Linked DNA regions of Oreochromis niloticus. The protein of the gene in region 2 binds, or shares a complex with, the protein of the main gene of each other region. Links are inferred from orthologs where the notes say so. Each region holds a gene or a part of one and is shown on either strand. Other genes may lie near its edges. The genes, in order: ints11, ints9, brat1 and ints7.

Region 1 (6,915 bases), on a different chromosome or scaffold from region 2:
CTGCTGAATGTGTTGACATAAAGACCAGAAGATTATCAAGAAATGCAGTAAAGTTCACTTACCCTAAATGCCTGTCCGGTGTCATGTTATAGTCACCCTAAAATAAAAAGAAATTATTCTCAGATTGCAGTTGATAAATTCACCTACTGTGACAGAGCGCAGACTTGTTTACACTTACGGTGTAGACCACAGACTCTGATCCCACTTTGATGTGAACCATAGCAGCTCCCAGGACATGGCCTGCATAGTACGCCTTGATCTCCAGCTCATCATCCACCTGCCACCAGCACAAAACAAACAGCTTGAATTGCCATCAAAAGAGAAGCAGCAGCTGGCGCAGAAGCAACTATTAGATGTGTGTGCGTGTGTGGTCAAAAATGATGTCAGCACTGCACCTGGACAGTCTGGTGCAGGTTCAAAGGAATCACTTTCTTCATGCAGTCCTTGATCATCTGCGAGGTGAAGAAGTTGGTTTCTCCTTTTTTGTCAACGGTGATCTTCCGGAAATCTTCCAGTAAAATGGGACAAATGGCTTTGGTGGGATGGGTCATGTAGATGGGTCCATCATAGCCCACCATCTCACTCATGTAGGGCAGAGCACCGCAGTGGTCCAAGTGGAAATGGCTGAAAAACGTAGAAAGGTGTACTATGTTACACACAAGGTTGAGATGATTTAAAAAAAGGTGCAATATAAAGAAGATAACAAATATGACAACAAACCTGATGATCACACAGTCTAAGAAATCTGTCAGACGCCCATTCTGTGTTATATAAGAAAAGTCTGGGAAACGTCTCTGCAATGATAAAACAATCTGTTATAGGACTGTTACTAAATGGAAATCTTCTTCTTTCAAAGGTAGAAACAGTGCATTCAAAAGGAGAGTCTCTTTTCTAGAAGAACTGTTTCATAATAGCTGTTTTTAAAATGCATTCCAAGTCAGAATGTACACAAATACCAGCAGTTTGCATAGAGAAGCCCAGCCCACCTCACCCACCTCCGCCAGCTTGGTCACACCTTTACTGCCAATGTAATCACTGAATAACAGAGTCCCACCCCACTCAGTGTCTGGGTATTCTGAACTGTCAGTTAGTGCGCAGACACAAACGATAGTCAATGCGCGTTTCCTGACTCAAAGGCGCAAAGAAGCAACCCTCTCATCCATTGGAGAAAACCTCAACGTACAAGTAGGGAACACAAGCTGTCTGCTCTCACCTACTGTAGGGCAACTCAAGAGGTTCCATTGCCTGAGCTACTCGCTGAGGTGAGTCCAACTATATCAAATTTGAATCTCTCATCCTCACACACCAACTCAGGCTCCTTCTCCACCCAAAAAGTGATGTTCCATATACCACAAGCTAGTTTTTGAAACCAGGGATCGTCAGACTTCAGACCACCGTCTGATCCACCAACCCCCACTTTGTCCTTTTATTGCAATAAATTTGATGGTAAGGATCAAAGACAGTCCAAGACAGTAACAACTGTGTGATACTGCTAACACACCATCGGTTCTTCAAAAACATCCCGCAGACAGCAGGCTAACACAAAAAAAGTGAAGAACCCAAAGTTATGTTCAAGCTGAGTGTATGCAGACCCAGGCCCAGCAGGTAGAGCCTGATCTTCAACATGTAACGAAAGCATTGATGAGCAGTCAGACTCTTCTCTCTATCTTCTTAAGTAGAATCACTGTGGTTACCCCTTTTAAGACTCTTTGGGCTGATTTTCAATTTTACTTTGTGTTATTGTTGGTTTTAAATAAGAAATATCATTAGTGTCCTCATTAGGATAGGTATTTGTGTCAGTGTGTGGGACTGTAGTCATGGGTTTATATTAAATGATAATTATGTGACACTGTATTTCAGGTCAAGTTACACAGGAATGTGAAAGTGATGTTAGTAGTAGCAGTGTAATGAATTAACTTCTCCGATGAGTAATTTAGAAATATACTGCATTCATTTTACAAAAAGTAAACAGTAATGTGTACCACATTACTTTTCTGAGTAACAACTCCAAAACTGCATACAGATATCTGCTGGCTCCCCAAAAGCCCCAAAACATTTGCCAAAACCTGTATAGCACACATCAGCAAAATAGAAGGGTTGGAAATTGCGCTTCAGCCCTCAATGTGGTTAAGGAAAACTATATATGTTAACAAACAAAAAAAACCCCCAAACACTCCAACATGTCCAAACCATCTCAGCCTTAGCTCTTCAAATCACTCAACATGAAATGTCTCTCAGACGTACTCATTTCTAATCCTATTGAAAATCTTAACTTCTTCAGACCTGCCTCCTGTCTTTTTGTCAGCAGATCTCACTACAGTCTTGTAAACCTTCCCAGTGTAAAGCAGCCTAGGTAGTCTTAACTTTTGCTGTCATGTTTGAAACACTTCTGTTTCACTTTAGAGTCTTTAATTTTGCCCAAGACTCATGTAGGGCTTTGATTTGGGATTCTTGTCAGTATGCTATGTGCAGGTTGTTTATAACTACTAATAAGATAAAGGAAACCAATAAGGGTAAAAAATGCCATAGTGTTTAAATTACATGACTGTAATGTTTGCTATAACAAATGCACTATGTCACTCACATCATCGTTGTAGCCCATGTGCATCCCACAGTCCAGCATTATATTTTTGCCTCCGATGGAGACGAGGATGCAGCTCCTGCCCACATCCTGTCCAGCACCTTGGAAGGGCAGAACAGAAGATAAAAATTCAGAATTACACTCCTTTAGTAATGGTAATAAACACAACAGTGCGCAGCAGCTAGCTAGCTAGCTTCGGTACTCACCGAGTGGCGTTACTTTTATTTCAGGCATGCTTTTTCATTGGGCAGCCTTTTTTTTATATACACAGGTAAATGACACCAAGGTGACCTAAACGTCCAGGATGTGTCAGCTGAATAACTTCTGAAATATATGGGAACGTTTATTGTGTGTAGCTTTAAAACATGCAGCTAATTTCATGCACCGACTTTATTTTTTTATCAGCGTCGGGCTAACAGGAAGGACTTCCGTCCAGTGCTTTCACAATAATACACCCCTTGCTATGAAAGCCTGTAGAAAACAGGTGGAAAGCACCTGGGTAATGTTTTGAAGACTATTTCCATATGTCATTTTGATAATCTATACTTCCTTTCAAGCAAACCTTGAAAACAAATTCAAGTGTCTATATTTCTTGTAAGAAACACTATGTCTTCCACTTTTAATTATACTGAACTGATAGATGTGTGAATAGATTTTCAGCATAAGGAGTATGAGCCCTCTAAAAATGAGTAACCAAGAAAAAGTGGCATCACGTAGTCTGGATAGCATTAAGAATAAAAGGGAAGGTTTACAAGATGCTAATAAGACCTGCTATGGTTTGGAAACTGAAACGGTGTCACGGGATAACTGGCCAAAGTGATATTTAAAGTCCTCTCATCCTGCCCAGCTGCTTCTTACTCTTTGCTTACTTATTATTGCTTCACTGCCTACACACCAGTTACCATTTCAAGTGACATTTCAGGTAGCAGTTCACCTGTCTGGAGCTCTTTTTTTTTAACCTAATTTCAGCACTGCCTGCAGGGATTTCAGGTGCATTCATTTATAAAAGTTCATTTCTGGCATACAAAGGCTATGTTGTTTGTCACTTTTTATTTTTCACACATCAGTGACGTTTATGCAACAAAAATATTTGTTTAGGTGCGGGGGGATCAGTGTTTGGGTTATAATAACTTCTTTCAATAAGTCCAAGAAGCAATTAAGGTAAAAATTTCCCTCGCTTTTATTTTGAAGACAAAGTCGCCAATTTAGAGCCTGCGCAGTAGAACCGGATAAGAACAGACAGGATCTGTCACTTCACGTTGTCGAGAAAAAGAAATGCGTAATTTTTCTTTCAATTTTAACTTTTCTTGTAGGTGACGAGTTCACTTCTTGATCGTTTACCACAGGGCTTACATTTTTACCCAGTTCCGGTTTGTTTGTAGCCCCGAAATACATTTTTTTCATTCATTTTTTACGTGCCTGTTTGTGTCATTTGCACTTCCTGGTAGAAACCATGGCAGGCTCAGAAGACCAGAAGTTCTCCCTCCAGGAGGTCCTAGACACTTTTAAGTTGTGTCTGTCGGAAAATAAAGAAGTCTATCTAGAACAGTACGTCGCTGGATGGCGTGGGCTTGTAAAGTAAGTGATCAGTGTAGAAGTAAACTAAGGCGAGCAGATCACAGCAAGGTAAATGTAGGACAGAGTGTTTACTGTGAGCTAAGATCAAGTCTTGAGATTTATATCTGATCTAGCTGACTCTTCTTCTTTAAAAAAAAAATCTCTCTCTCTCTATCTATCTATCTATCTATCTATCTATCTATCTATCTATCTATCTATCTATCTATCTATCTATCTATCTCTCTCTCTCTCTCTCTCTCTCTCTCTCTCTCTCTCTCTCTCTCTCTCTATATATATATATATATATATATATATATATATATATATATATATATATATATATATACATACATGTTAAGTTTCATATGTTTAATGAATAAATAAAAGTGTCACCTTCATGGCATGAAAACTTTCCAGGTTACAGACCCTCAAAGAACATAGGGGTGGGCTAAAATTTGCTGCTTTTTAATTAATTATTTTATGAGTCCTTACAGCTTCATTATTGCAGGAGATGTCCACAGGTTTGAAAAACACATTAAAGCTCTTTTCAAAATCAATTGTATAACCTGAAATCAAATCCCCCTTTTGTTCAATTCTGTTTTCTGCATCCAACTTTGTGCCTCAGTATCATGTCTCCTTTCCCTCAGCCCCAACTGCTTGCACCAGATGGCTGCCCCTGACTGAGCCTGGTTCTCCCTTTTAACAGGTTTCTTCCTGTTAAAAGGAAATGTTCTTTCCCACTGTTGCCAAAATGCTTGTTAATAGGGGGTTGTCTGATTGTTGGGGTTTCTCTGTATTATTGTAGGGTTATTGTGCCTTATAGTGTTAAGCACTTTAAGGTGACTTTTGTGATTTTTAAATAAATAAAATTGGATTGTATTGAAAGTTATATTGTAGTTTCAATTGCAAAACTACAGCAGTCGAATGTCTGTGAAACAAGGGTCATATCACAGGCTGGGATAGGTGGCTGATCAAAACATATGAAAGGGTCTACTTTACCGACAGACTGATCCCAGGATCATATTCCTGGTATTAGTGTACCTTCTTGGCTAGGTCTCTGTGGAAAAAGAGATTTTATTCTCAGTGGACTTTCTGGTTTTAAAAAAAATCAATAAAATGTGATGACAGAAGCAGGCCGACAATACAAAGTATTTGCAAAACTGGTAATGCTAGCATGAGCGTTCCTTTTTAAAGCTCCATGTTTTTCTTATATAAGAGCAATTAAAGGATTCAATAGAAAAAAGAAACGAATACCAGAGCTGTATAGTGAGGGTTTTGTTGCATTCAAAAGGCAAACAAACAGTTTTGTTTATCAAAGGGTCAAAATATCCATAAAATTCATTTAATATTGTTTAATTAAGGTAACACAAACTCATTGCCTTTACTTTACATCAATCGATTGTGCTTGCGTGCCCTGCCAGGCCCTTTTGAAGGCCCACTCTGAACCACAAAAATCCTGAATGTCACACAGCAACAAACGGTGTGACTTTCAGGGCTGTTTGATTATAAGGTTTAGTTAGTTAGTTAGGTTCACTGAAATACAACTAACTTAAAATTCAACTGACTAAACACACAACAGCTTGACAGAGGGTATTGTTTGGACTCTCTTCAATTTTAGGAGCAAAAAATAAAAGTAAAGGAATCAAAGGCAACACGATAGCATTACGAAACAGGCTGAGGCACAATAATAACTGCATCTTGATAATATTTTAGAAATGACTGGAATTTGTAATTATAATTGAAATTCAAATTGCAGCAGCTTTCATAAATGTTGCATTTTTATTGTGAAAAGTATGTGAAATATTTTGCAGCAGGAACAGCATAAAAGGGAAAGAGTTGAGCTTCAGCTCTGGTCTGTGAGTGAATTCTTGGAATTTCTCATGTGAACTGAACTGATTATAATTTGCAGACATTTAGAATTTACTGATTATACTCTCAGCTGTAATAGTAGACCAAAAGGACACCCAGGTGTTAACTGAGTGTGTTTTTACTCCTTGTAATAGGTTTCTGAACAGCTTGGGAAGTGTCTTTGGCTTCATTTCTAAGGATGCTGTCGGCAAGATCCAGATCCTTGTGAGTTATATGAAGGGTGAGAACGCTTCTCACTATGCTACTGTGCAGTCGATGGTAAAATACGAACTGGACAATAATCTCGTGGATGTGAACAAGAAAGGAAGCCACCCAGAGTCTGGCTGTCGTACTCTGCTGAGGCTCCACCGCGCTCTGAGGTGGCTGGAGCTCTTCCTGGATCGCCTGCGCACCAGCACAGAAGACAGTAAAACATCTGCCCTGTGTGCAGAGGCCTACAACGAGTCCCTTGCCCAGCACCATCCGTGGATGATCCGTAAGGCTGCGGGCATGGCGTTCCTCGTGCTTCCTGGTCGCCAAACCTTTTTCGAAGTAATGAATGTTGGCCCGCCTGAGCAAGTTGTGGCCAAGCTGGGGGAGGCCCTACCTCTCATCTCTGAGGTGTACCAGATCACAGAGGACCTATATGCTCAACATAACCTGCTTGATTTACCTTAGAAGCAAGAAGTGCTAATATCTGACGGCTCATACTTTATATAATTAAATATTTGTAACTTGTCCTTGGTGAAAGGCTGCTGAACAAGATGCTTCTGCTGCTTGGATTGTGTCATAACTAGCTGTAATACCACTAAGATTAATTTTGAAACTACTGTATACATGTTTTAACATAAGATTGTGTACATTTTCCTCCACGTAATGGACCTTTGAATGTATTTTTATTAACTAATCTTTTGCTTTTAAATCAACAG
Region 2 (7,339 bases):
TGCCGACGGCTGGTTGCTAGGTTAACCCTTTAATGTATGTACCACTCTGTCATGTGTCAGTAACCAGCACACGTTGCTCTCACAGGTAACGGCGTCAGCTGTTCGCCTCAAAGGTGAGAAGAGTTCAACTTTAGCTTTAAACACTGTAAAGCTAAAAGGCTACAAATGTTGCCTTTTAAGCCTTGATCAAACTTCAGAGAGACTTCTAACACACACCCACACTTCTGTCTTCTTATGAATTGCGTTTCCTGGAGTCTTGTGACACTTGCCAACTTGCCTCATGCTCGTGTTACAGATACTTTCTGCATCTTGTGACACATTTCTATTGTTGTGTTTGCTACCACACAATGCATGTCGCAGCCAGAGGTAACCAAAAGCTTACCTTCAGCGTTGACCAGTCAAACTGCGTCTCCAGAACATTTTGCACTGAGATTCCTGAGTTGATTTCAGTGAGTTTATCGAGAGCCAGAATGCATTCATCTGCTCTTTGTTTCACCTGAAAGATTAAACAAATGAATTCATTCTGTTTCTTTAAGGTGCCATTTACCTTTACATTCACGACATCTGTACAGATACGACAAATAAAACCATCATTTTTTCCCCTACTATGGGATTTATAAACTCCCGGTCTCCCTAAATTTTTGTTTATGGTGGGCAGCAAATCAGAGGGAGCTTCTCTTAAAGGGAGGGGACAGGAAGCTAGAGTGGAGCTGAGCTGCTGCACTTGGGCTCAGTACAAGATAAACCAGGATTGTGTTGAACTGTGAGTTTTGCAAAGCTACTCTGATGAACAAAAAAAAAGAAAAATCCCTCGCCTTAATCGTAGATTTAAAAAGCCAACTGCTGTCTGCAGTCCCTGATTCCTTTCAGCTTTAAGATAAACGGGATGTGACCACATGCTTGCTGTTTAACATAACGTGCCCAGATGAAAACAGAAGAATGTCAGCTAGAACAAACAAGGATGTGGTTTGATTTTAACATCAGTGCCAAGCTGCCTGCGAGCAAACGGGTATGAAGTTATGCAATCAAGAGACTGAATTTGAAACCCACAGAGGGAGTCTGTGGGTAATCTCTGCGACAACATACTTGTTTGTTTCTGAGGGGGAATTCGCTCTCTCCGTGCCGCAGAGCTCTGTAGTACATCCACTCCTTTACCAAGTTCTGTTGGGTGGCACCGGATGATTTTGTCAAACTTGCATTTGACCTTTCTGACTCTGGCTTATCACAAAAATAATATGTAGCTGACGCTGACTGGTCTCTGTGGGAGAAAAATAAAAAATAAAACCATAACTGGTAGTTCCAGCCCTAGGAACAGATATTACTTCCTTCACTTTACTTGGAACAATTAGGGTTTAGACACATGTAGAGAACACATCCTGTTTGAGGCAGCGTATGACCCCCTCTCTCTGAAAGAAGCAAAGTCACTCTCATGTTGCTGCTCTCACACTGCAGCCATGTGCTCTGTCTGCAGCTTTGTCAGCATGTCACCGGCTGCTAAAATCCAGCAAAATAACACTTCCATCACCATAAGCGACAGGCCAGCTGTGGCCATTATGTTCATCTCCATATGGTCCCCCTTGTCTGCATACTGAAAAGAATTGTGATGACCTGGTTCGTACCATTGTCTGCACACCCTTTCCACTCCTACTACACACGTAAACAGACAGCCAAGCAAACAATAGCAGAGGACAAACGTTCAGCTACGATTTCCTCCGAATGAAGATTACAAAGAACACAGATTTCAAACTCATTTTACATCGTAGGCCACATACGACCCACTCCGAGTGGGGGGACCACTTAAGATCAGAAACTGTCAGTGTAAAGATGTTTAAACACACAATTAATCCCTGAGATATCTTCATATGAGGAAAAGAAGTGTAATTTCAAAAGTTTCTCTCAGTTTTATGATAAATGTGTAAAATAAGAGAAAAAGTGCTGCTAGCTCATTGTGCACACTGTCATGCATTTAGAATAATATACTTTTTTTCTATAGTAAAAACATCTATAGTAGATGCTCGAAAAATGGGAACTTTTCTGTCATTTAATTTTTTTTAATCTATTAGTAACTATCTGGTGTAGCATGGACGTAATGGTCTGTAAAATTTTAAATACAGTTAAAAGTTCCAAAGTCTGTGCACTCCATAGCCTTCCAGTGGGCCCGATTGGAGTCTCTGCCTGGCCGATTCTGGCCCCTGGACCCTATGTTTGACAACCCTGCTATAGAAGGTTTTGGTGATTAATGGAATGAAAACTACATATGAACCAAATAGAAAAATTACCTGTGTTCCACTGATGCCACGATGAAGCCCTGAGAGGCCATTTCTGCACATATTGCTGAATACAAGGTCCTGAGAAACAATCACAGGAGCCACAGTGTGAGCAGAACTTGTAACGGGTTATTGCTGCAGGAGTGACGAAATAAAAAGAACAAATGCATTGTGTGTGTACCTAAAGGCTCCCAAGCCGTGGGAGAAGATGATCACGGGACATTTTTCATTCGATTTAAATGGAGCATCCAAATAGGCTGGGATCTTGAAGGACCCTGAAATAGATAAAAATGAGGAACATTCACATTGGCTATTTTTTTAACCACATTAGAAACTGAAATAAACTAGCTTTCTATTTTTTTTTTTTTTTTTTTTAGTGACTAAAGTCATATAATATCATATAATATTGCTGTCCTGAGCAAATACATTTGACTTTTACACCACAAAGAAATAGACTGTCAGGATGGAGAGGGGGGTGGGGGTGCAAATTCATTAATAAGTGTGCAAGCATATAAGACTTGAGAAAGCAAAGAAACAAAGAAAAAATAGTCCATTTTATGCCATGACATCATTAGAAATACTGGATTTTCCTAATTTATTCACCAAAGAGGTAGTTGAAGATCCTTTCACTGAGGGCCCTGTTCATTTTCATGAAGTCAGCCAGACCGTTAAAGTACTCCTTGCATGGGACCCAGTCAGGCTTCTCGGCACTTTCCATCTCCTGACAGGGATAGTACAGCCGGAAGAATGTGCCCTGTTGGAGAGACAGACAGCTAGTTCAAGCAACTCAGCAGAAGGCCATTTGCTCCCGTGATGTCAGCAGCCTGCGTGGCCCAAATACCTGCTTTCCATAATACCTGTGGGTACCCAGCCCAGCATCTGCAGCACACTCGAGAATGTCAAATACAAATATGTGAGCTCAGCTGTTACATGTCAGCATGAACAAAGGTTTTCTTTTGCTTGTACCTCTGCAGTGTGGTCCATCATGAAGTCAGTGCAGCCCACAGCGTTTGGGCCGTTGCCTGGAGGGATCCCAAGGTTATTACTGCAGCTGCTCCCCATGGTGAAGAAACTTAGCGCGGACCTCTTCTGGTCTGGTAAATAGAAACACGCACACATCTGTACATCAATACTGCTCCTCTCTAAAAGGGAAAGATAACAGGACTAAAAATCGTATTATTTCTGCACGGATGTTACTGACCGCAATGAATAAATGTGTATATGCAGAATGTATCATTATATATGCTTGACATTCATTTACATTATTAGTAGTATTGTAGCTTTTTATTAAGTAGTTTATTAGTATCAAATGAAAGTCAAAAACTTCTTCACTGTACTAAATGTTATGTGAGACCGAGTCGCGAAGTTTACGCCTTGATCTAATCACAGAGAGCTCCACACAACCGCACACTTGATTCATTTAACTAACCGGGTCAAAGTCTTTGTGCTGTCAGTTAAAACAAAAACCCAAAACGTGGCGTGTTAACTCCTACCTGTCCTCGCCCACGCGTTCAATCTCTTGACTCCTAACTGAAGAAACCCTCCATAAGAAAACATCGACTACAGCACTTTCGATAGCGACCTAACCAAACGTTTTCTATCTCCACTTTAGCTGCCGGTAACAGTAACACTCGTTAAATAAAACAAAAGGCCTACCGGAGATACAGAAGTGCGAGCGCTGCCCGGTGTTTCTACATCAGTTTCGCAATATTACCGTGGACTGAGAGCAATCACAGGATAAATGTACTGCTTTGGGAGTGGTTATTGTTTTTGTCAGTTAGCCGCTGCTAGCATAGGAGGGGGCTAGACCAGAGTAGTGGATGAACGGTGTTGAGTCACTGTATTAGTCCTGCCTCTGCCGGCCTAATGGCGTCCCCCAACTTAAACCTTAATGACCTACATGTCATATTATTTAACAGTTGGCAATCATGCTTCTATCTTTACTCGAATTACGGCATAGATGGCTCTAAATATGAACTCAACCAAGGCCTTTGAAATTGTGTCAACTGCTCTGTACACGGCTCTGGTTTATCGCAGCGACTCTCGCTGACAGCTCTGGAATCAGCGCGCACGTGCAGTTGTTTACAACAATCATCGACGCTTTAATTAATATTTTCATTAATATCGTGTGAGCCAAGGTGCTGTTGCCAAAGCAGCTGCATATGAGCGCTGGCTTCTCAGCAAAAATGGCACTTTTAAAGTGTCGGTACATTTGATATGACTCCACGTCTGTTGGGGGCAGTAGAGGACAGCCGAGCGGGAAACAAAGCGAGAAGGGAGCAGAAAAGCAGCGGAGAACGATGCTGCGTTAGCAAAGCTAACTGTTGTCAACTCATTTATCAGCAACTCCTTTTGTTAAAGATGAAATTGGTGAGTAAAAAGCAGATCAGTAAAGAGAACAATTAATGTAGAAATAGTCGAAAGTGATTAACTTATAGTCACCCAAAAGTGACTGTTAGCTGGAAGCTAATAGCGGTTTTTTTGGGTGCAGTTTAATAAAGTGGAAAAGGTGAGCAGCGAACAGCAAGTTAGTACAGCGTGAAGTGTTTAACTATGCATACGAAAACACGGAAACAAAACCCCTTTGACATTTTGGTGTCGGGTTTATCCTGCTTTACTGTATCTGTATCTTTGTACACCTACACACACCTGTGGTTTTAAGGGTGCATTTCCTCCTTGTAGTACTGTCTGTCGGGTCATCCTACATTGCCCTGCAATGTCCTCAAGTTCAAGTCCACCACCATCATGTTGGACTGTGGACTGGACACCACCTCTGTCCTCAACTTCCTGCCCCTGCCCTTGGTGCACAGGTGAGTCACTGACAGTAATTCATTCATTCATTCATTCATGGATAAGAGATGTGTTTTGCTTGATGATGATGATCCTTTTTTTTTTTTCAGTCCAAGACTTTCCAAGCTACCTGGTTGGGTCTCTAAGGATGGAACAATAAATTTGGGAAAGGCACGAGAAGCTGTTTGTAATGTGCTTCGGTTACTTGGCGTATATTTCAACGTACTGCAGTTTTTGTATGAACACATGCCGATTTATCTGTGGGGGGGAAAATCAGTTTTGCCTTATGCTTGCAGGAGCTGAAGGAGTGTGCAGGGAGGGTGTTTGTTGACGCACAGCCAGAGTTCTGTCTCCCTGAGGTAGACATCCCTGATACTTCATCTCTGCATCAGTGTTATAGCTTGTGCTACTCATTCAGAATGTCTCTGCAAAACAGGGGCCACTGTAAAGCATCAGAGTTGGAGCAAATCCACCTATTTTAAACAAATAAGAAAAAAAAGAAACCTGATAGGCCTGCCACAATTGACAAGAAGAGGATAATCCACTCAGAGAAATCAGTTACTATGATCAGCACAGTGTGATTACTGCGTCTTTACTTTCACAGTAGGTCCTATCTTAATAAATACCTGAAGTACAACAATGATATCTATTTAATCTGAATAACGCACAGAGAGAACTGTTGGACCTGTCCACCATCGATGTCATTCTTATCTCAAACTACCACTGCATGATGGCCCTGCCTTACATCACAGAGCACACCGGCTTCACCGGGACAGTGTACGCCACGGAGCCCACGCTGCAGATTGGCAGGTGACAGATGCAGGGGATGATTACCACATCTTACTATTTTTATATTATTTTTGTGATATCATTATTTCATTTGGTAAAATGAGATACAGGTCACACGTCTTCAGTTGCGTTTATGCTCGTTCTTCCTCTTTTCTTCCTTAGGCTGCTGATGGAGGAGCTCGTGAACTTCATGGAGAGAGTTCCTAAAGCCCAGTCTGCCACGTCCTGGAAGAACAAGGAGATACAAAGGTAGACTAGTTTTGTAAAAATATTCTGTGTGTGTGTGTGTGTGTGTGTGTGTGTGTGAGAGTTGACACATGAACTACAGTTACTGACTTTGTTTTAGTCTGGTCATTTTTGAAGTTTCATTTTACCTTCACCTAATTTTTCTGGTGTTTTGTTACACCTCCACTAGCAGGGTGGTGTAACTCCACCGTTCAAATGAATACTTATGTTATTGCATTAGGATGCTCCCGGGGCCGCTGAAGGATGCAGTTGATGTGTGGATGTGGAAGCGATGCTACAGCATGCAGGAGGTTAACTCTGCGCTCAGCAAAGTGCAGCTTGTGGGTTATTCACAGAAAGTGGTGAGAACTGCTTATGTCCAGGAGATATTTAAGATTTCACATTTTTGCTTTCTTGCAATGGTGACTTCTCCTTGTCTTTTCTCTCGTTTTTTTTTTTTTTTTTTCTTGCAGGAGTTGTTTGGAGCTGTACAAGTCTCCCCATTGAGCTCCGGCTACTCGCTGGGCAGCTCCAACTGGATCATCCAGTCTCACCACGAGAAGGTGTCCTATGTGTCTGGCTCGTCTCTACTCACCACACATCCTCAGGTAGGCCAGCAGGCTTAATGCTTCACCATTTCAAAGTCTACTGGGCGTAACCCTTGAAGCTTTTTCCTGAGCTGAGTGATTTTGCTAATATTTCGGGCCTGTTTACAGAACAAACTGATAAAATGAGTGTGCAGCAGTCAGGAAGGGTGGTCTCTGCTCGTGCAGCTAAACCACGTCATTGATTTCTACTGAGGTGTCAAAACTTGTCATTGAGGGTCCAGCGGAGGTCATCAGATGTCGTCTTTATGGGGGAGAAAGTTAAAGTTTGAAGGGACTGAGGACAAAGCTGTCACGATCTAGAGTGTAAAGAGTGCAGTCTGTTATTCGTTTAGTCACAGATTTCCTTTTTCCTGTGCTCAGAGTTTCTTTTGGAAGCTAAATCTTTAGGCGAGTGTTTGTCAGTGCACGCTGTAATTGTTGGAGAATCTAGTCTGTTCTGTCCTGTCACAACTACTCTGCAGTGTTTCTCTTCTTCTCTGCTCCCAGCCCATGGACCAGAGTTCCCTAAAGAATAGTGACGTCCTCATTCTGACAGGCCTCACTCAGATGCCTACTGCCAACCCAGATGGCATGCTGGGAGAATTCTGCAGTAACTTGGGTGGGTTTTAATGTAGCGCTTAGATTGACGTGGTACCAAATGTTGAAGTCATTCTCGTATCA
Region 3 (7,603 bases), on a different chromosome or scaffold from region 2:
TTACACTCACCATGTGTGCGATCTGAGGTGTGTTTGTTAGACACACACTGATCATGGAGATGCAGGAGGTTTTGCTCTTCAGCTGCTCAGTCATGGCAAACCGATGCATGTCTCCTACAGGCCCAGATCTCATGTTACTCCATAGCATAAATGCAAGATAACACAGATTTTTCTCAAGAGTGTACGTCTTTGTGGGTCACCTGCAGTGTTTGTGCCTAGTAGGTTCTGGCCAGATATGATGTCGAGGGGTAGCAGCAGTAATCTCACAGACTGAGCTGTGTGGACACGGTCACTGCACATAAAACCAGAAGAAAAGGAACAATATTTTGTAGACAGATACTATAATGACAAATCCCCATGGGTTTTTAACAGAAAACCCAACCTCTACAGACGTTCGTGTACAGAGTTTGTGTTGGCTGAAGAAGCTGTGCTTACTGATGGCCGCCGCGGAGAAAAGCAGCTGCAGCATGGACGAGGTCAGCAGGTTTCCTGGCGTTCAACATGAAAGTTAAAAGACGGGTGATGCGTTGGTCTGGGAGGCGGCTGCAGAAGCAAGCACAGCAAGAGTCTATAAACTAAACCTGAACAGCAGCACAGTCACTAATGTATACTTAAAAACAACCACTAGGTAAATGCTGTGGATGATGGCTGACCATTACACTGTCCTGTGGTATTGCATAGATCAATAGAACAAAGCCATCGATGCTATATCTATTAGCAGATTTGCATATTCAGCCAGGAAGCTCCACTGTCCTCACCTTCCTCTTAAAGTCACTACTTAAAATCCAAATAATCTCTAGTAGAGACAAAAAAGGACAGACAACTCTATAAAGCGACACTCTCCTGTGTTTTATGAGGGGTTTACCTGCATGCAGCTAGAATGACATCCATCAGAGGCAGTGTGAGTTCACAACAATCTGCTGCCACCATTTCTTCCAGAGAAGCTGTGACTGTCTGCAGCAGCTTGTCCCGCAGAGGAGGCTTGGTCTGGCCCAGGAGCAGAGCCAGCAGTCTGAGAGTCTGCTGACACTGATGAAGCTGTGTGCTTCCCTTGGGAACCCCCAGCGCCCTCTTGAGGTACTCTGAGATTGCATCGACAACAGCGGTGCAATCTTGGTTTATTTCCATGGGCTCGGCTGGGTTTTCTACAACTGCTTTGGACGCACGTGTGTTCTGCTCATCTTCCTTCTTATCGGTGCCATTACATCCTACAGATGAGACAGGCTGACAGAAGAGCAGGACGTGGGCGAGCATTTGATTGGCAGCTGAGGCAACAAATAGGCTTGTGTCTGTCTGGAGTTGCAGAAGTGGCTCAATGAAATCTAAAAAAACCAAACAAATATAATACATATATATGAGGATGCATCAGAATTACAACAATATAATACCTATAGCACAGTGCCTCTCGCCCTATGGCAGCTGGGAATGATCCAGCCCCCAGTGACCCTGAATTTGATATGCAGGAGCAAACAAATGAAAGGACGAATAGAAATAGCATATTATCCTTAATACTAATGATCCCCCCCTCATGAATCGATGCAAAAAACTCACCTGCTTGTATAAAGAAACTAAGACCATTTGGATGCTGCAGTGTGGTCCTTAAGCCCTGGATCCAGCCAATCCGTATGCAGGGATCCTCCCAGAGCCCTAACTCCTGCCAGTGCTTACAGCTAAAGACAAGATCCAGAACTAAGGACTCCTGCAAGAGAGAGAGGGAGGCACAATGATAGGGCAGATAAGCATTGGAATATTTTGTAACAGTTTACTAAATACACCAGGCGTCAGAAGCTCTACCTTAAGAATTCTGAAGGCGTCCTCAGCAGCAGCCAATAAGCCGATGAGTCTGAGAGTGAAGGAGAGGACACCTGGGGCTGAAGCCGTGTCATGAATCACAGCAGATATGAACTCAAGCAGACACGGACAGGCCTCCAGCAGAGACTCCCCTTCAAAGAGTGAAAGAAAAGAAAAACAAGGATACAGATTTACACGGGATCACTTTTTTATGTGCACCATAAAGAGAAATGATAAAGGTACAAAAGACATGAAAAAGGAACATTTTAAATTTAAATTTATCTTTATTAATGCAATATAACATATATATAAGTATCTTTGAGTTTTGGGATCTTTTACAAAATGTAAATGTTATCTGCAAATATCGGTGATATAATCTGAGTAATAATCACCTACAAATACAGTGATTCGCTGCATGGTATTAAGTTTAGATCAGTTCTCTGGAGAATGAGGGCTCTTTAAAACACACCTTTCAGCTTTTCATGTATTTTGAAGCTGGTTTTTTTTCGGAGAACTGGAATGTAAATGTGCTTGTCTCTGTCTCAGCTTGTGTCGTTCAAATATGCTATAGGCTTTAAATCAAGCAGAAGTGACAGTCAACACAAAAAAGACAGTCATCACATGTTTGTTTCATTTACAAAATATTTGTTATTCAACCCAGGTCAGAGGGTTACACACTGAACTTAGAATATAGAAATAAAGTATCGATTAGATGGTATCGATACTTTTAACAATATAATATTTGAATTGATCCTCCTATTAGAAAGATAGTGGGAGAGGAGGAAGAATAAAGACACGATCCTGTTAGGGTCAGTACTACTAACCAGCCTCGGTGAGCGCTGTGAACCAGTCCAGCAGTTTCTCCAGAATGGTGTCATCGGGCAGCGAGCTCCCTGAGGCCGCCAGCACCTCACAGACCCGGGGCAGCAGTGACACACACTCTCTGTCCATGGGGCTAAGGTGTGCGTGTTAATAACCGCCGTTGCTAGCTTAGGTTTTTACAGCTAGGAGTTATATAAAGTCTACACATTATCTAACCACTCATGTGGATGTAAATGTGACCTCTAGCTAAATTATGCAGTACAGACCAAACTGAAGCAGCCACTTTAAACACACAAAGTCGTTGTTTTTTGTACTTTACTAAACGAACGTCTCGCGGGAAACAGTTTCGGATCTACCGGTGCGTCGTTTCCTTTTCCGTGCTTCTGGGCGGGTCTCACGCCGCTGCGCTCTTCGCTGATCTCTAAACATCACTGTGGGGGAAAATTACCACCAGTAGCTGTTGTACTTCCGGTCCCTATGCTTTACAGCTTTACTGCTTCTGCGCAGCCTTTTCACGCGCCTTTGAGGAGGTTCCGGTGTCGCGTTTCCGTCACGTCGTCCATTTTCACGGATCCGCACATGGTGCTGCACCGGCTGAGGATCGCCAGCCTTTTCGTTTTCGGGATTTTTGCTCCGCTGTAGACAAAAGTCCGTGTTGTAGTTCTGTTAAATGAAAGAAACGGTGGATATGGTGGACGACCCCGAGTATGAAGAGGAGGAGCCTTCCTTCAGCGACCCGGAGGACTACGTGGACGATGTGGATGACGACGGTAAGTAGTCACAGGAAAAACGCCGGCTTTCCGGCCTGCTGTTAGCAGTTAGCTAAGAGCTCAATGGTGGGGATGTTTTAGATGCTACAAAGCTAGTTAGCTAGCCTCTCTGGTCACCGGCACGTAGTAATAGTAAATAGTGAACAGTGACCATGAGCTGGATGCATAAGCGTAATTACCAGGAATACAACAGCGACACCACCCTTTTTCTCCAAAAAACTCCCAACATAACGTTATCACAGTGTACTTAACGCCCGTTAAAGCCTCACCCAGACCCCACACAGCCACTCACTGGGGCCTGTGCGATACGATCTGAAAAACCGAAACAGGATTTTAGCTAGTAAAGCCGTTAGGGCACATTATTTTCTCTGTGCTGTTTGCTTATATAAAGTAGTTTAAATGGGGCAGCTGGTTGTAGCTCAATGGTAATCCTAACCCAGGTCTGAGGGGCGTTTGCTCATTAGAGCTTTTCAATTGTGCAAGTTTTGCAGTTGTGGTAAAATGACTCATCAGATACACGTGTTTTGTACTTAGTAGTCACAATATAATTATTTATGTATAGTAGAAACCTTGGGGTAAATTTACAACAAAATTGGTACCATTTAATATTAATTTGCTGAAGTTAAACAAGGACACAAATGAAATAGCTTCTGTGAAGCTAAACACGCCAGCATAGCGGTTCTTTATCCTTATCAAAATGATGTGTATTAAGCAGTGAGTGTAAAGGAGATGTACTATTGAATTAACTTTATTATGATGTAATTATATTTTGTCTACTTATAAATCATGAAGCTTAAACCTGCACATCTCTAAAGAAAATTTAAACAAAAGAATTGTTTGTTTCAACGATGCAGTCTTCCCTTCCAGTAACTGAAGTGGTGGCTATAAAGTTTAGATTGGTTCATGTATATGAAAAGAAGGTCGACATTAAAATGAGATGAGAACCCCAACCCCACACAGTCCTATCAGCTTGTTCATCACCCTGACCCTCCTCCTTCACTTTTCAGAGCTTCTTGATGACATCCTGAGGGAGAAACCCCAGGAGGCAGACGGCATAGACTCGGTGGTGGTGGTGGACAACGTCCCTCAGGTCGGCCCGGAGCGTTTGGAAAAGCTCAAGAACGTCATACACAAGATCTTCTCCAAGTTTGGCAAGATCACGACTGAGTTTTACCCAGAGGCGGATGGTATGACCAAAGGGTATGACCGCAGTTGTTTTCTTCTATGTTCTTTTGTGCATCTATTTTGATTCAAGGTGGATTTCCGGATTTGAAGCAGAGTTTTTGTTTTGTTTTTTAGTAATTGTTTTTTCTCCTCGTTTACAGTTACATCTTCCTGGAGTATGCTTCTCCTACTCAAGCCCTCGAAGCAGTCAAGAACGCAGATGGATATAAACTCGACAAGCAGCACACGTTTAGGGTCAACCTCTTCACTGACTTTGACAAGTGAGTATGCAGTACCACTCAATGCATTGTCCAGGTATTGCTTGCCAGACTTGGAATACAAGTAAATAATCGTACCTTTGTTTTTCTCAGATACATGAACATCAGCGATGAATGGGAAGCTCCAGCAAAGCAGCCTTTCAAAGACTTTGTAAGTGTTACCTTAACTTTTCAGTCATAATATAATGAATCAGTTTATAACACTTAGAATTAGTTTGGCAAAAATAGCTTCATGTCAGCACTTTCATTATTAAGTTGACCTTCATAAATCGACAGGACAGTCTCTATCCTGAAACCGTGCAAGCGACAATAACTCTGTTTGTGTTTTCAGGGGAATATGCGCCATTGGATCGAGGACCCAGATTGCCGTGACCAGTACAGTGTGATTTATGAAGCTGGAGAGAGGACTGCCATTTTCTCCAACGACGCTAAAGAGCCAATCACAGTTGAAGAGAGAGCGGTGAGTTTTTAATTACTCACGCAGAGTTGGTGGGAAATGCAGGGCTCGTATCAAACATGACTGGTCAGTAGTCACTGGTTTGGAGAGTTCTGATGTTTTTCCTGCTTTGATGCAGCGCTGGACAGAGACGTACGTCCGATGGTCTCCTAAAGGTACCTACCTGGCTACGTTCCACCAGCGGGGAATTGCACTGTGGGGCGGCGAGAAGTTCAAACAGATTCAGAGGTTCAGCCATCAGGGTGTGTCCCTCATCGACTTCTCACCATGTGAAAGGTAATCAAAAGTCGACTTTAATCCAAAGAAGCACATTATAGTTATATTATAGAGTATCCCGTTCAAGTGTTTATTCATTAGTGATTTATTTATTTCCTGTAAATAAGGCAACGTCACCTAAATCCTATGGGTTGTTGCACCATGACATGGGGACAGCAAAGGATGATTAATGTGCAGATAAAGCACTCTAAAGAGGTGCCGAGTTGGCCTGTGAGCCACAGTCTGAGCTTAATGTGTGGTTGTGCTGGCTTCCAGGTATGTGGTGACCTTCAGTCCACTGATGGACACCAAGGAGGACCCACAGGCCATCATCATCTGGGACATTCTGACCGGACAGAAGAAGAGAGGGTTCCACTGCGAGAGTTCTGCACATTGGCCTATTTTTAAGTCCGTATTATGCTTTCTCTCTTTTAAATCTAATTTAAATCAAATTTGCTGCTTCTTGCAGAGTTTGGATGTGTCTTCTAATTTTACATGTTTGTTATCAGATGGAGCCATGATGGGAAGTTCTTTGCAAGGATGACACCAGACACACTGAGTATCTATGAAACTCCGGTAAGTAGGCCTGAAAACAGTCTAGATGCGTTTAAATGAAATGTTCAAATGATATTAAAGGTTTATATTTTGTTTTGTTTTTTTCTTCTTGTAGTCTATGGGCTTGCTGGACAAGAAGAGTCTCAAGATTACTGGGATAAAGTAAGAGTCCTTCATGCGCTCATGCTTTAAATTGTGACCGCATTTTGTGTAGAGATATTAATTTTTGTGCATCTTCAGGGACTTCTCGTGGTCTCCTGGTGACAACATCATAGCATTCTGGGTACCCGAGGACAAAGACATCCCAGCCAGGGTGACTCTGATGCAGATGCCCTCCCGTCAGGAGATCCGCGTTCGCAATCTCTTCAATGTCGTTGACTGCAAGCTGCACTGGCAGAGAAACGGGGATTATCTGTGTGTGAAAGTTGACAGGACTCCCAAAGGAACACAGGTACTCATAGAAGGAGGGCAAACGGCTTATATGTCACAGAATTTTAAAAAACAAGAAATAATAAGTTGACTATTTTTTTGCCTTCTTAGGGTGTCGTTACCAACTTTGAAATCTTCCGCATGAGAGAGAAGCAGGTTCCTGTCGATGTGGTGGAGATGAAGGGTAAGACATGTATTTGTACAAACACAGAAATGAGCTGCAAGTAATTCTAATTTCCACAGAAAGGAAGTTAATCTGTTTCCCTTCGTGTTGTTTTCCTTCTAGAAAGCATCATAGCGTTTGCATGGGAGCCCAATGGCAGTAAGTTTGCTGTCCTTCACGGCGAGTCGCCAAGAATCAACGCCTCCTTCTATCATGTCAAAAACAACGGCAAGATCGAGCTCATAAGTGAGTAGAAGGACAGCCATGCAATGTTATGGCAGAGCGTTGTTGTTTCTAATGTGTCCACTAAACTGAATGTGACACTTTTCCTTTCACAGAGATGTTTGACAAGCAGCAGGCCAACAGCATCTTCTGGAGCCCCCAGGGACAGTTTATGGTGCTGGCTGGGCTCAGGAGGTAGGTTTTATCTGAGTGTGTGTGTGTGTGTGAGATGAATATAAGAAGCCACTGATGACAAAGTAAACATTTTTTCTGACACCTCGTATGAGAGCTAAGCTCCTGATTCTAACGCGAATCTGAGGCTTGTGTTTGTTTAATATCTGTAGAGATGAGTGTATTTGTACGTGGATATAACCGCTTTGCCTCTCCTTTCAGTATGAACGGAGCTCTCGCCTTTGTAGACACGTCAGACTGCACCATGATGAACATAGCGGAGCATTACATGGCCTCTGACGTGGAGTGGGATCCAACGGGTCGCTACGTTGTCACCTCTGTCTCGTGGTGGAGCCACAAGGTGCGTAGCGCTCCACAGGCCTCGTCAGTCCTTTGCAGATGAGAGGAAATGCAATCTGATCTTTTTCTGTCATCCATTCACTTCATTTTTCTCCACCTTTACGTGCGTGCTAGGTGGACAATGCGTACTGGCTGTGGACGTTCCAGGGCCGACTCCTCCAGAAGA
Region 4 (7,693 bases), about 12 Mb from region 2:
AGAAGCCTTTCTTTTCTTACCCGTCAACAGCTCCTGAAGAGATGAGGGTGTGCTGATCCCTAAACAAAACCACTGTAACACTCTGCTGGGAGTCCTGCAAATAAGATGCAGTAGCTAAAGATTAGATTTCCATTTGCAGCATCGCTCTTTTCATTCCATTAAACAGCTGATTGTCGAGAAAACTCACCACGCTCGGAGCCATGCCGCGCATGCCGCCCCGTCTCTTCTTCGTTTTAGAGGGAGGGTTTGTCTCTGCTTTGTTGTGAGCTCCGCTGATCTGGTTCACCTGTCTGTAGAAACCATCTGAGGGAAAGACACAAGTTTGATTAAAGCATTCATATGAAAGTCACTATTTTGTATGACCACCTTTATTCTTCAACATAGTCTAACTCTATTCGGGAAGCTTTCTTGTCATTTCTTTAAGTAGTCTTCAGGAATAGTTCTCTAGACTTCTTGAAGGACATTAATCACAAGGTTGGGGGTTCGATCCCTGGCTGCTCCAGTCTGCATGCCAAATATCATCAGGCGAGATACTAATCCTGCATTGTTCTCCGATGCATCCATTGGAGTATAAATGTGTGTGAATATTAGATAGAAAGCACTTACATGGGAAAGGCATAGAAAAAAAGTGCTTGTATGAATAGGTGTAAATGAGTAAATGAGGCAAGTTGCACAAAAGTGCTTTGAGTGCTCAGAGTAGAAATGCGCTTTATAAGAACGAGTCCGTTTAACAGTTACTGATTTTCAGTCCAGTTTTTGTGTGAGTTAGCATACCCCAGACTTTTCTCCCTGCTCCCTTTCTTAAGAACAGCCTGAGACCGATGTTGATGAGGCTTCAGTTAACAGCAGACGGATCAACTAAAGGGCTTTCTTTGAAGGACACACTGCACACAATGCCAAAATACACCCAGGTTTTCAGGCTAATGGTTCTTTGGGAAACACCTTGGTGGTGCAAAAGTACTATTTTATGCCTTTCAAACTGAGTGGTCGTGGCATTTTTCATAAATTCAACTAAAGAAACAGGAAAAAATTAAGTGTTTTTGCTACAGGCTGCTAGTAACAAAGTGGCTAAAGATATGATTTAAAATTTATTGCTAAATTCACTATTATTGTTCTGATCAATACCTTTTTTGCTGCATCTCATGTCCCAGACCATAATATTTCCATCTCTGGCTCCAGTGGAAAACACAGCTGTGTGACAAAAGAAAATGTATTAATCACATGATACAACAATATATCATCAATGCACAACCAACACGGTGTTAGCTCAGTAAAAGGTATACCTTTCTCCTCTGGTGCAAATGCAACAGACTTAAGACTGCAGAGGTGGCCCTTGAAGCTGCCTAACAACTCTCCAGACTTCACATCCCAGAGCCTGGCCATCTGGTCACCCGCAGCAGTTACCTGAAGAGATCACAGATGACCAAAGCATAATAAGAAAAGGCTTCAGAGTTTTTAATGAGTTCCAACAAAATAAAGAACAAAAAGAAAAATTAGTAAGGTAGATGGAATTACATGAGTCATGCATTTGAGGGTGACGCATAAAGATCTGACTTTCTGCAATTCTCTGACTAAACAGAATAAATTTGCACTTACTAACTGAGCCTCCCCTGGCATCCAGGCGATATCAAAGACAGCATTCTCATGAGCCAGCCATGCTGCAAGGTTCACACACATTTAGCCACCGACATTTCAAAATACATGACATGACAATTATGAACACAAGTCAAAAGAATACCTTTAAGAAGTGGATATTTACGGCTCTCTGTGTTGTAGAACCTAACAATGCCTTCTTCATTAGCTACTGCGAGGATGTTCTGCTGGTCCCTGGCTGAAAACAAACAGCAGAAACGAGACACTGCAGTTAGACAGATTAATGATAACAGGTCCTTGCACTCACAATGATAAGCACAAATGAATTACCAGAGGAGAAAGCTAATCCAAACGGTGGCACAGAGTCGCCAAAGTTCCCATAGGAGATATGTTCATCATGTCGGACACATCGGTAGCCTTCAAGCAGGGAGCTCAGAGGGTACCTGGACCAGGGATCTGCAGGGAGAGCTGAAGAGAATGATGCATGGTCAGAGGAGGGAAATCAATGAGACACAGCAGTAAAACTAACGGAAAAATCATTGCAGATTTAAGTGGACAATCATCAAACTGCTTTGAGCTGATATTAAGGCAACTGTAACTCAAATAACCACTTGTTACAATTAAGATATGCAGAAGAGCATCTCTGAGCATGCAACACATTGAACCTTGGAGTCATTGCAGAAGAAGACTACACCAGCTGCCGCTCCTGTAGGCCAAGAACAGGATCCTGAGGCTGCTATTCACACTGGATCAACAAAATTGGACAACAGAACACTGGAAAAACATTGTCTAGTCTGAAAAGTCTCGATTTCTGCGGTGATGTTTGGATAATAAGTTCAGAATTTGATGTAAACAGCATGAAAGCATGGATCCATCCTGCCTTGTATCGACAGTTCAGGCTGCTGGTGGTGTAATGACGTGGGGGGTATTTTCTTGGCACACTGAGTATCATGTTGTTGTTGCTGACCATCTTTTATGAACACGGTGTACCGATCTTCTAATGCAGGGGTGTCAAACATACAGCCCAGGGGCCACAACCGGCCCGTGTAAAAATGTCAAAGAATGCCTAAATGTGGATTTTCGGTTTGTACTTGTGAACCGATCACGCCACGAGAGTCCAAACTGACGGTCCAGAGATTTGACTCATTGTCATTTTTACAGCCTTCTTAGTAACAAACAAATCACCCCTGACCTGCTATACTATACCAAAATAAGCACTAGACACCATTAAAAATAAAATAAATGAATAGAAAACAGAAAATTAGCTGGGTTTTCATTATAAACGAATCAATGGGCAAGTTCCTATTTTATTTAACAGGAAAAAATAGGATGTATTCTTTGAATTACCAGAAGATTTTGAGGTTTTTTTCTTTTGGGACCATTTACTATAATCACCTGTATGTGTAATGAATTTAGACTGGTAACAGTGAGGCTCATATTTTATATACATATCCTTAAAATTTTCATAATATACTCAAACATCTTCCCACTTTCCATTAGTCTGGTAGTCTGCAGCAGCTTGGCCTACTTCAATTTTATCTATACGTGACCTTTTACTACGTGACACCCTTGTCTAATGGCTGTAATGGCTGCTTTCAGCAGGATAACACCATGTCACGGAGCTCACTTCCTCTCAGACTGGTTTCTTGAACATGACGATGAGCACACTGTACTCAAATGGCCTCCACAGACGCCAGATCTCAAGCCATTGGGATGTGGTAAAACAGGACATTGCATCGTTGACGTACAGTCGACAAATATGCAGAAACCGTGTGATGCCATCACGTCAATATGGATCAAAATATCTGAGGGACGCTTCAACCAACTTGTTGAATCTACGCATGGAAGACAAAAGAGGGTCCAACCCAGTGCTAGCCAGGTGTACCTAATAAAGTGACCTACGATCATAGATCGGCACGCTCATCTTCTCACTTGCTCTTGAGTTGTATAAACCAAAGCCAATCAAAATGTGAGAAACTGTCCTGATATGTACTACAGGTATAAGGCAGGACATATTGTTGATCTACCACCCGTTGGAGTCTGAACAGCCCGACAAAGACATTCACGAAGAAAGTAGAGTTAAACGTTAAAGTCCACACTGAACGCAAAAGAAAAGCAAGTGCAAATGATACTCTAGGAGCCCTCCTGGCAGCATGACTCCTCCAAATATAAAGCAGAGATGTTAGACTGCATTATCTTCCATGGTAGACTAGCTAAAGCCCAGCCATGGCCGTGCAGATAACCCAGATCTCCCCAAAAACCCATCCCTGTCTCACCATTCTGCCTCCGTCTGCCCACTCCTCTGTCCACCACTGAGCGGAAAAGCATCCCTGCACTGCAGCACAACTCGATCCTAAGGCTTTTGTATAAAAACGTAACGTTTTCCTCGATGTTTAGCTACTGGTGGTCCGCTTTCCCTACCGATGCCGGGACACTGTTTCCCGCGAATAGATCGTCCGAGCAGAAGGACTGAATTCCCCGCTAAACTTGCGTTACGCGCAACCATTGGTGGAAACGGCGACTTCCTGGGCAGGAGCGCTTCTGCTTCCGCTTTCTTTGTAAAGTTTCCCACCATAACTGGAGAAGGAGACGCCCCTTCAGCATAAATAAATATTTTTTAAAACGATTAAACTAATAACTAGCCCCTCTTTGCATAGTATGTTTATCCTGTTAGACAGTTGTTAGTTTAGTAAATACACTTTGTTGTATACAACCACTGCCAAACAAATGCTGCATGTATATGGTGCATTTAGTGGTGCAAGTATGTGTGACAACACACAATTTCAGGTTGTGCGCAGTGTTGAACTAGAAAATGAATATCTGTGACTGCAACAAAAGTTATGAAAATCACAAGTAAAAATGTTCTTTTCAACAGAAGCACTAAAGTAACAAAGGTTTAAAAGTCACCATGACTATGATATCTCCAATGTAACTGTTGTTATTTAGAGTATTATGGTGTTACCGATTCATCCATAATCTATCATTTGATGCTAAGGTGATACTAGAATAATATACTAATACATATTTCACGTAGATATTTAACGTAAATCTATTTTATAAATAGTCCCTAAAACAGCTTGGTAGCTCGCGACCATGACAACTGGCGTTTTATTGTGAAAGTCAATCTCCAGACCGGATGTTCTGTCTCTGTATCCTCAGTGTTTTCCTGAATACCGCCTGAACAGTGAAATGCTAATATCTCATGAGTGTATCTTCTTTTAAGGGGTAAAAACTGCACAGTAATGTCGCTCTCCACCGCACGCTCATTCCTGTCAGAGGCTTGTTATGGCGAACAGGAGCTCGACGCTAACTCCGCTCTCATGGAGCTGGACAAAGGTGTGTTAGCTCGCTGGCTAAAGACTTAGCATATGGTTCATTGATTGTGTTCTGATCCGGTGTGTCGTTTCCTCGTAATGTGTTAAGTGGAAGCTTCCTGCTTTGTTGTGACTGGAGCATTTCCACTTTATTTTCAGGGTTGCGGTCGGGGAAGCTCGGTGAGCAGTGTGAGGCTGTGGTTTTGTTCCCCAAACTCTTCCAGAAGTACCCATTTCCCATCCTCATCAACTCTGCATTTTTAAAACTAGCAGACATCTTCAGGCTCGGGTATGATTGCTTTAGATGATCATTTATTTGTTAAAGGCTACTTTACTGACAGTTGTTTCACACTTTCTTTATAGCTGAATCTAATACAGGCATCCCAATGCATTTCAGAGTGTAGAGAAAATTTTAATAACATCTCTAAGTAATTGAGCGTACAGTTTAACCACAAGCCTAAGCCGTCAAAAGAAAATGTAAACACTATTCGCACACTCATGTAGTTCACATAATCACTCCCAAGCTAATGCAAAAATAAAATAAACAAACTCTGAAACACCAAAAAATAACAGATAATAGATTTTCTTCTTATATTTAATGAATAATTGCGTGTCTTTGATGTCTCTAATGAACTTGATGTTTATCAATCTTTAAAAGTACAAGATACTTTAAACTAAGCATACCCAGTAAACTGATCATTGAGGGCAGGCCTGTTAATGTGTTATTGTGTTGTGTTTGAACTGTAGTGAGATATTCAGGGAGTATCTGTGTATTTTATTTTACTTTAGAAAATAAAAAAAAAATTAAGAAAAGTATGAATAGATGTAAGTACAGAGGGAAAAATGTTGGTGTGAGAAAGGTTTTAAAAATAAAAAAACTATAATTATTCTTCATGAAAAAAAAGAAAGGGAAAAAGTTGACGGAAAAGAGAGAGAGAAGGTTCCAAATAAGAGGATTTGGGGAAAAAGTGAATTTATTTCACTTTAAGAAAGAATAAGAACTATTCTTACTTAAGTGGATTTTTCAAACTTTAATTTTATTCAAAAGTGCCTAAATAAATAAATGTGCGCATCTTATGCACTTTTTAATAGAATGTTTTTGAAGTTGGTAAGATGTATTTAGAAGGTGCGAGAAGTTAAAGATGAGCTTTACTGTGCCACAAACATCTTATTTCTCTTTTCCAGTAACAACTTTCTGCGTCTCTGTGTACTCAAAGTGACTCAACAGAGTGAGAAACATTTGGAGAAGATTCTCAATGTGGATGAGTTTGTGAAACGGGTGTTTTCAGTCATCCACAGTAATGACCCTGTGGCCAGAGCCATCACTCTGAGGTAACAATGTGAAATGATGATTAAAAACGCGAGTGGCGCATCTGACCCTATCCCTAGCACACTCTTCTGTCAACCCTCTGCATGTCCTCCTTCACTACATCTACAAACCTCCTTTGTGGCCTTCTTGCCTGGCTTTGGCATCTTTTGTGCAGTGTATCCAGTGTCATTCCTCTGCACATGTCCAAAACATCTCAGCCTTGCCTCTCTAACTTTTACTCCAATATGCCCAACCTGAGCTGTCCCTTCTTTCCTATCCTGTGCATTCTCTGTAAGAATCGTAACATCTTCATCATACATGTTAGCAGATCTCACTAACATCTTGCAAAACTTCTGCTTCACTCTTGCTGTTATCCTTCTGTCACAAATCACCCCAATACTAGTCTCCATCCACTCCACCCTGTCTGCACTATCTTCTTCAGTTTTGTTGTGCACCATCTTTTCAGTCATCTCAGATTTTTAAAAAGAAAATTCCTGCTGTCTTATGTGTTCAGGATGCTTGGTAGTTTGGCCTCCATCATCCCAGAGAGGAAGAATGCCCACCACACTATTCGCCAAAGCCTGGACTCTCATGACAATGTGGAAGTCGAGGCAGCCATCTTTGCTGCTGCAAGCTTCTCTGCACAGTCAAAGTAAGGAAACAATGACTAAAAGTGAGCTCTGATGTATGGGATGATGTTTTAGATGATTTTATTGTTGTGTGGCTTTTTAATTAATTTTTATTTTTTATTTTCAGAGACTTTGCAGCTGGAATTTGCAACAAAGTTAGTGAGATGATTCAAGGTAAGATCTTTATTCTTTACGTGAAGATAAACGAGAGCTGTCGTGGTTCAAAGCTTCATTGTCACTGATGTCTTTTATTTTTAATTGTCACACTAAACTGAGTACAGCCATTAAAATTATTCTTTTTTTCATTCTGAAATCACGGAGAAAAAGAAACACAAAACACTGCAAATACACATTTTGCTGAACCCAAAGAAAACATTTGTCACGTGCACTGCATCTTTTACATAATGTTTGTATTGGTCTTTTCTTCCACCTCAGGTTTAGACACTCCTGTGGAACTGAAGCTGAAGTTGATCCCCATGCTGCAGCACATGCATCATGACGCCAGCCTGGCGTCCAGCAGCAGAGAGCTTTTACAGCATCTGGTGAACTCTTATCCTTCCACCCCCATGGTCATTGTCTCCCTGCATACTTTCACCCAGCTGGCCGCCTCTTCCCTCATAGATATCCCCAAGCAGGTAGACCCAACTTGCTCGCACACAGCTATGTGTCATTTCTTTTAGTTTGTTGTGGTGCACCTCTGATTTGGTTCCTAATCTGTTTGCAGCTGCAGCTCCTCCTTCAGTACCTAAAAGATGATCCGAGAAAAGCTGTGAAGAGACTTGCAGTTAACGATTTAAAGCTCCTGGCTAAAAAGGCTCCTCACCTGTGGATAAGAGAAAACACTCAGG

Evidence for each region.
Region 1: the proteins of ints9 (region 2) and ints11 are in contact, whole or in part, in a cryo-EM structure (PDB 8RC4), measured with the Homo sapiens proteins. The link is inferred for Oreochromis niloticus from reciprocal best matches to the Homo sapiens genes INTS9 and INTS11. Residues at the interface, in NP_060720.2 of Homo sapiens: Glu127, Gly198, Tyr199, Ser200, Gln201, Lys202, Tyr231, Glu338, Phe339, Ile342, Phe343, Glu345, Gln352, Lys354, Val355, Tyr356, Leu357, Pro358, Glu359, Pro360, Pro361, Arg511, Arg512, Tyr513, Glu514, Lys515, Ile516, Glu517, Ile518, Met519; in NP_060341.2 of Homo sapiens: His94, Gln97, Ala98, His137, Leu138, His139, Gln140, Thr141, Lys274, His277, Tyr278, Lys280, Leu281, Phe282, Ile283, Pro284, Trp285, Arg291, Phe294, Ser449, Pro450, Ser451, Ile452, Pro453, Val454, Gly455, Ile456, Ser457, Leu458, Leu461.
Region 3: the proteins of ints9 (region 2) and brat1 are in contact, whole or in part, in a cryo-EM structure (PDB 8UIB), measured with the Homo sapiens proteins. The link is inferred for Oreochromis niloticus from reciprocal best matches to the Homo sapiens genes INTS9 and BRAT1. Residues at the interface, in NP_060720.2 of Homo sapiens: Gly276, Met277, Gly279, Glu280, Cys282, Ser283, Asn284, Ala286, Leu287, Arg290, Asn291, Tyr315, Asp317, Ser318, Ala319, Gly320, Ser483, His484; in NP_689956.2 of Homo sapiens: Ala406, Pro407, Cys416, Pro460, Gln506, Lys507, Arg508, Cys510, His511, Pro512, Arg517, Glu545, Leu549, Gln552, Asp556, Pro557.
Region 4: ints9 (region 2) and ints7 share a complex: the UniProt entries of both Homo sapiens proteins name them as parts of the integrator complex. The link is inferred for Oreochromis niloticus from reciprocal best matches to the Homo sapiens genes INTS9 and INTS7.

What each region holds. Positions count from the first base shown.
Region 1 is NC_031984.2:8,378,756-8,385,670, forward strand, and holds the start of ints11 (integrator complex subunit 11), read right to left. Parts: upstream 3,012-6,915; 5' UTR 2,816-3,011; coding exon 2,788-2,815; intron 2,683-2,787; coding exon 2,585-2,682; intron 795-2,584; coding exon 721-794; intron 625-720; coding exon 396-624; intron 278-395; coding exon 179-277; intron 98-178; coding exon 63-97; intron 1-62. Other genes in the region: cptp (ceramide-1-phosphate transfer protein), read left to right, coding at 3,857-3,860, 4,030-4,159, 6,142-6,664.
Region 2 is NC_031980.2:1,194,858-1,202,196, forward strand, and holds the start of ints9 (integrator complex subunit 9), read left to right. Parts: upstream 1-4,324; 5' UTR 4,325-4,484; coding exon 4,485-4,637; intron 4,638-4,916; exon of another isoform or gene 4,917-4,949; coding exon 4,950-5,077; intron 5,078-5,167; coding exon 5,168-5,279; intron 5,280-5,353; coding exon 5,354-5,416; intron 5,417-5,727; coding exon 5,728-5,867; intron 5,868-6,008; coding exon 6,009-6,095; intron 6,096-6,312; coding exon 6,313-6,433; intron 6,434-6,544; coding exon 6,545-6,679; intron 6,680-7,165; coding exon 7,166-7,277; intron 7,278-7,339. Other genes in the region: pla2g7 (platelet-activating factor acetylhydrolase), read right to left, coding at 383-496, 1,087-1,258, 2,280-2,348, 2,449-2,542, 2,871-3,021, 3,234-3,361, 3,761-3,824. UniProt on the Homo sapiens protein: Component of the integrator complex, a multiprotein complex that terminates RNA polymerase II (Pol II) transcription in the promoter-proximal region of genes.
Region 3 is NC_031971.2:13,424,741-13,432,343, reverse strand, and holds the start of brat1 (integrator complex assembly factor BRAT1), read right to left. Parts: upstream 3,002-7,603; 5' UTR 2,743-3,001; coding exon 2,616-2,742; intron 1,944-2,615; coding exon 1,795-1,943; intron 1,700-1,794; coding exon 1,552-1,699; intron 1,323-1,551; coding exon 866-1,322; intron 544-865; coding exon 436-543; intron 293-435; coding exon 201-292; intron 115-200; coding exon 11-114; intron 1-10. Other genes in the region: eif3ba (eukaryotic translation initiation factor 3, subunit Ba), read left to right, coding at 3,284-3,383, 4,391-4,583, 4,709-4,828, 4,919-4,976, 5,157-5,285, 5,401-5,558, 5,814-5,945, 6,047-6,113 and 7 more. UniProt on the Homo sapiens protein: Component of a multiprotein complex required for the assembly of the RNA endonuclease module of the integrator complex.
Region 4 is NC_031980.2:13,634,033-13,641,725, reverse strand, and holds the start of ints7 (integrator complex subunit 7), read left to right. Parts: upstream 1-4,678; 5' UTR 4,679-4,835; coding exon 4,836-4,929; intron 4,930-5,066; coding exon 5,067-5,196; intron 5,197-6,092; coding exon 6,093-6,239; intron 6,240-6,730; coding exon 6,731-6,868; intron 6,869-6,972; coding exon 6,973-7,019; intron 7,020-7,280; coding exon 7,281-7,480; intron 7,481-7,569; coding exon 7,570-7,692; intron 7,693-7,693. Other genes in the region: dtl (denticleless protein homolog), read right to left, coding at 21-94, 188-303, 1,126-1,191, 1,284-1,404, 1,597-1,658, 1,739-1,831, 1,924-2,061, 3,870-3,921. UniProt on the Homo sapiens protein: Component of the integrator complex, a multiprotein complex that terminates RNA polymerase II (Pol II) transcription in the promoter-proximal region of genes.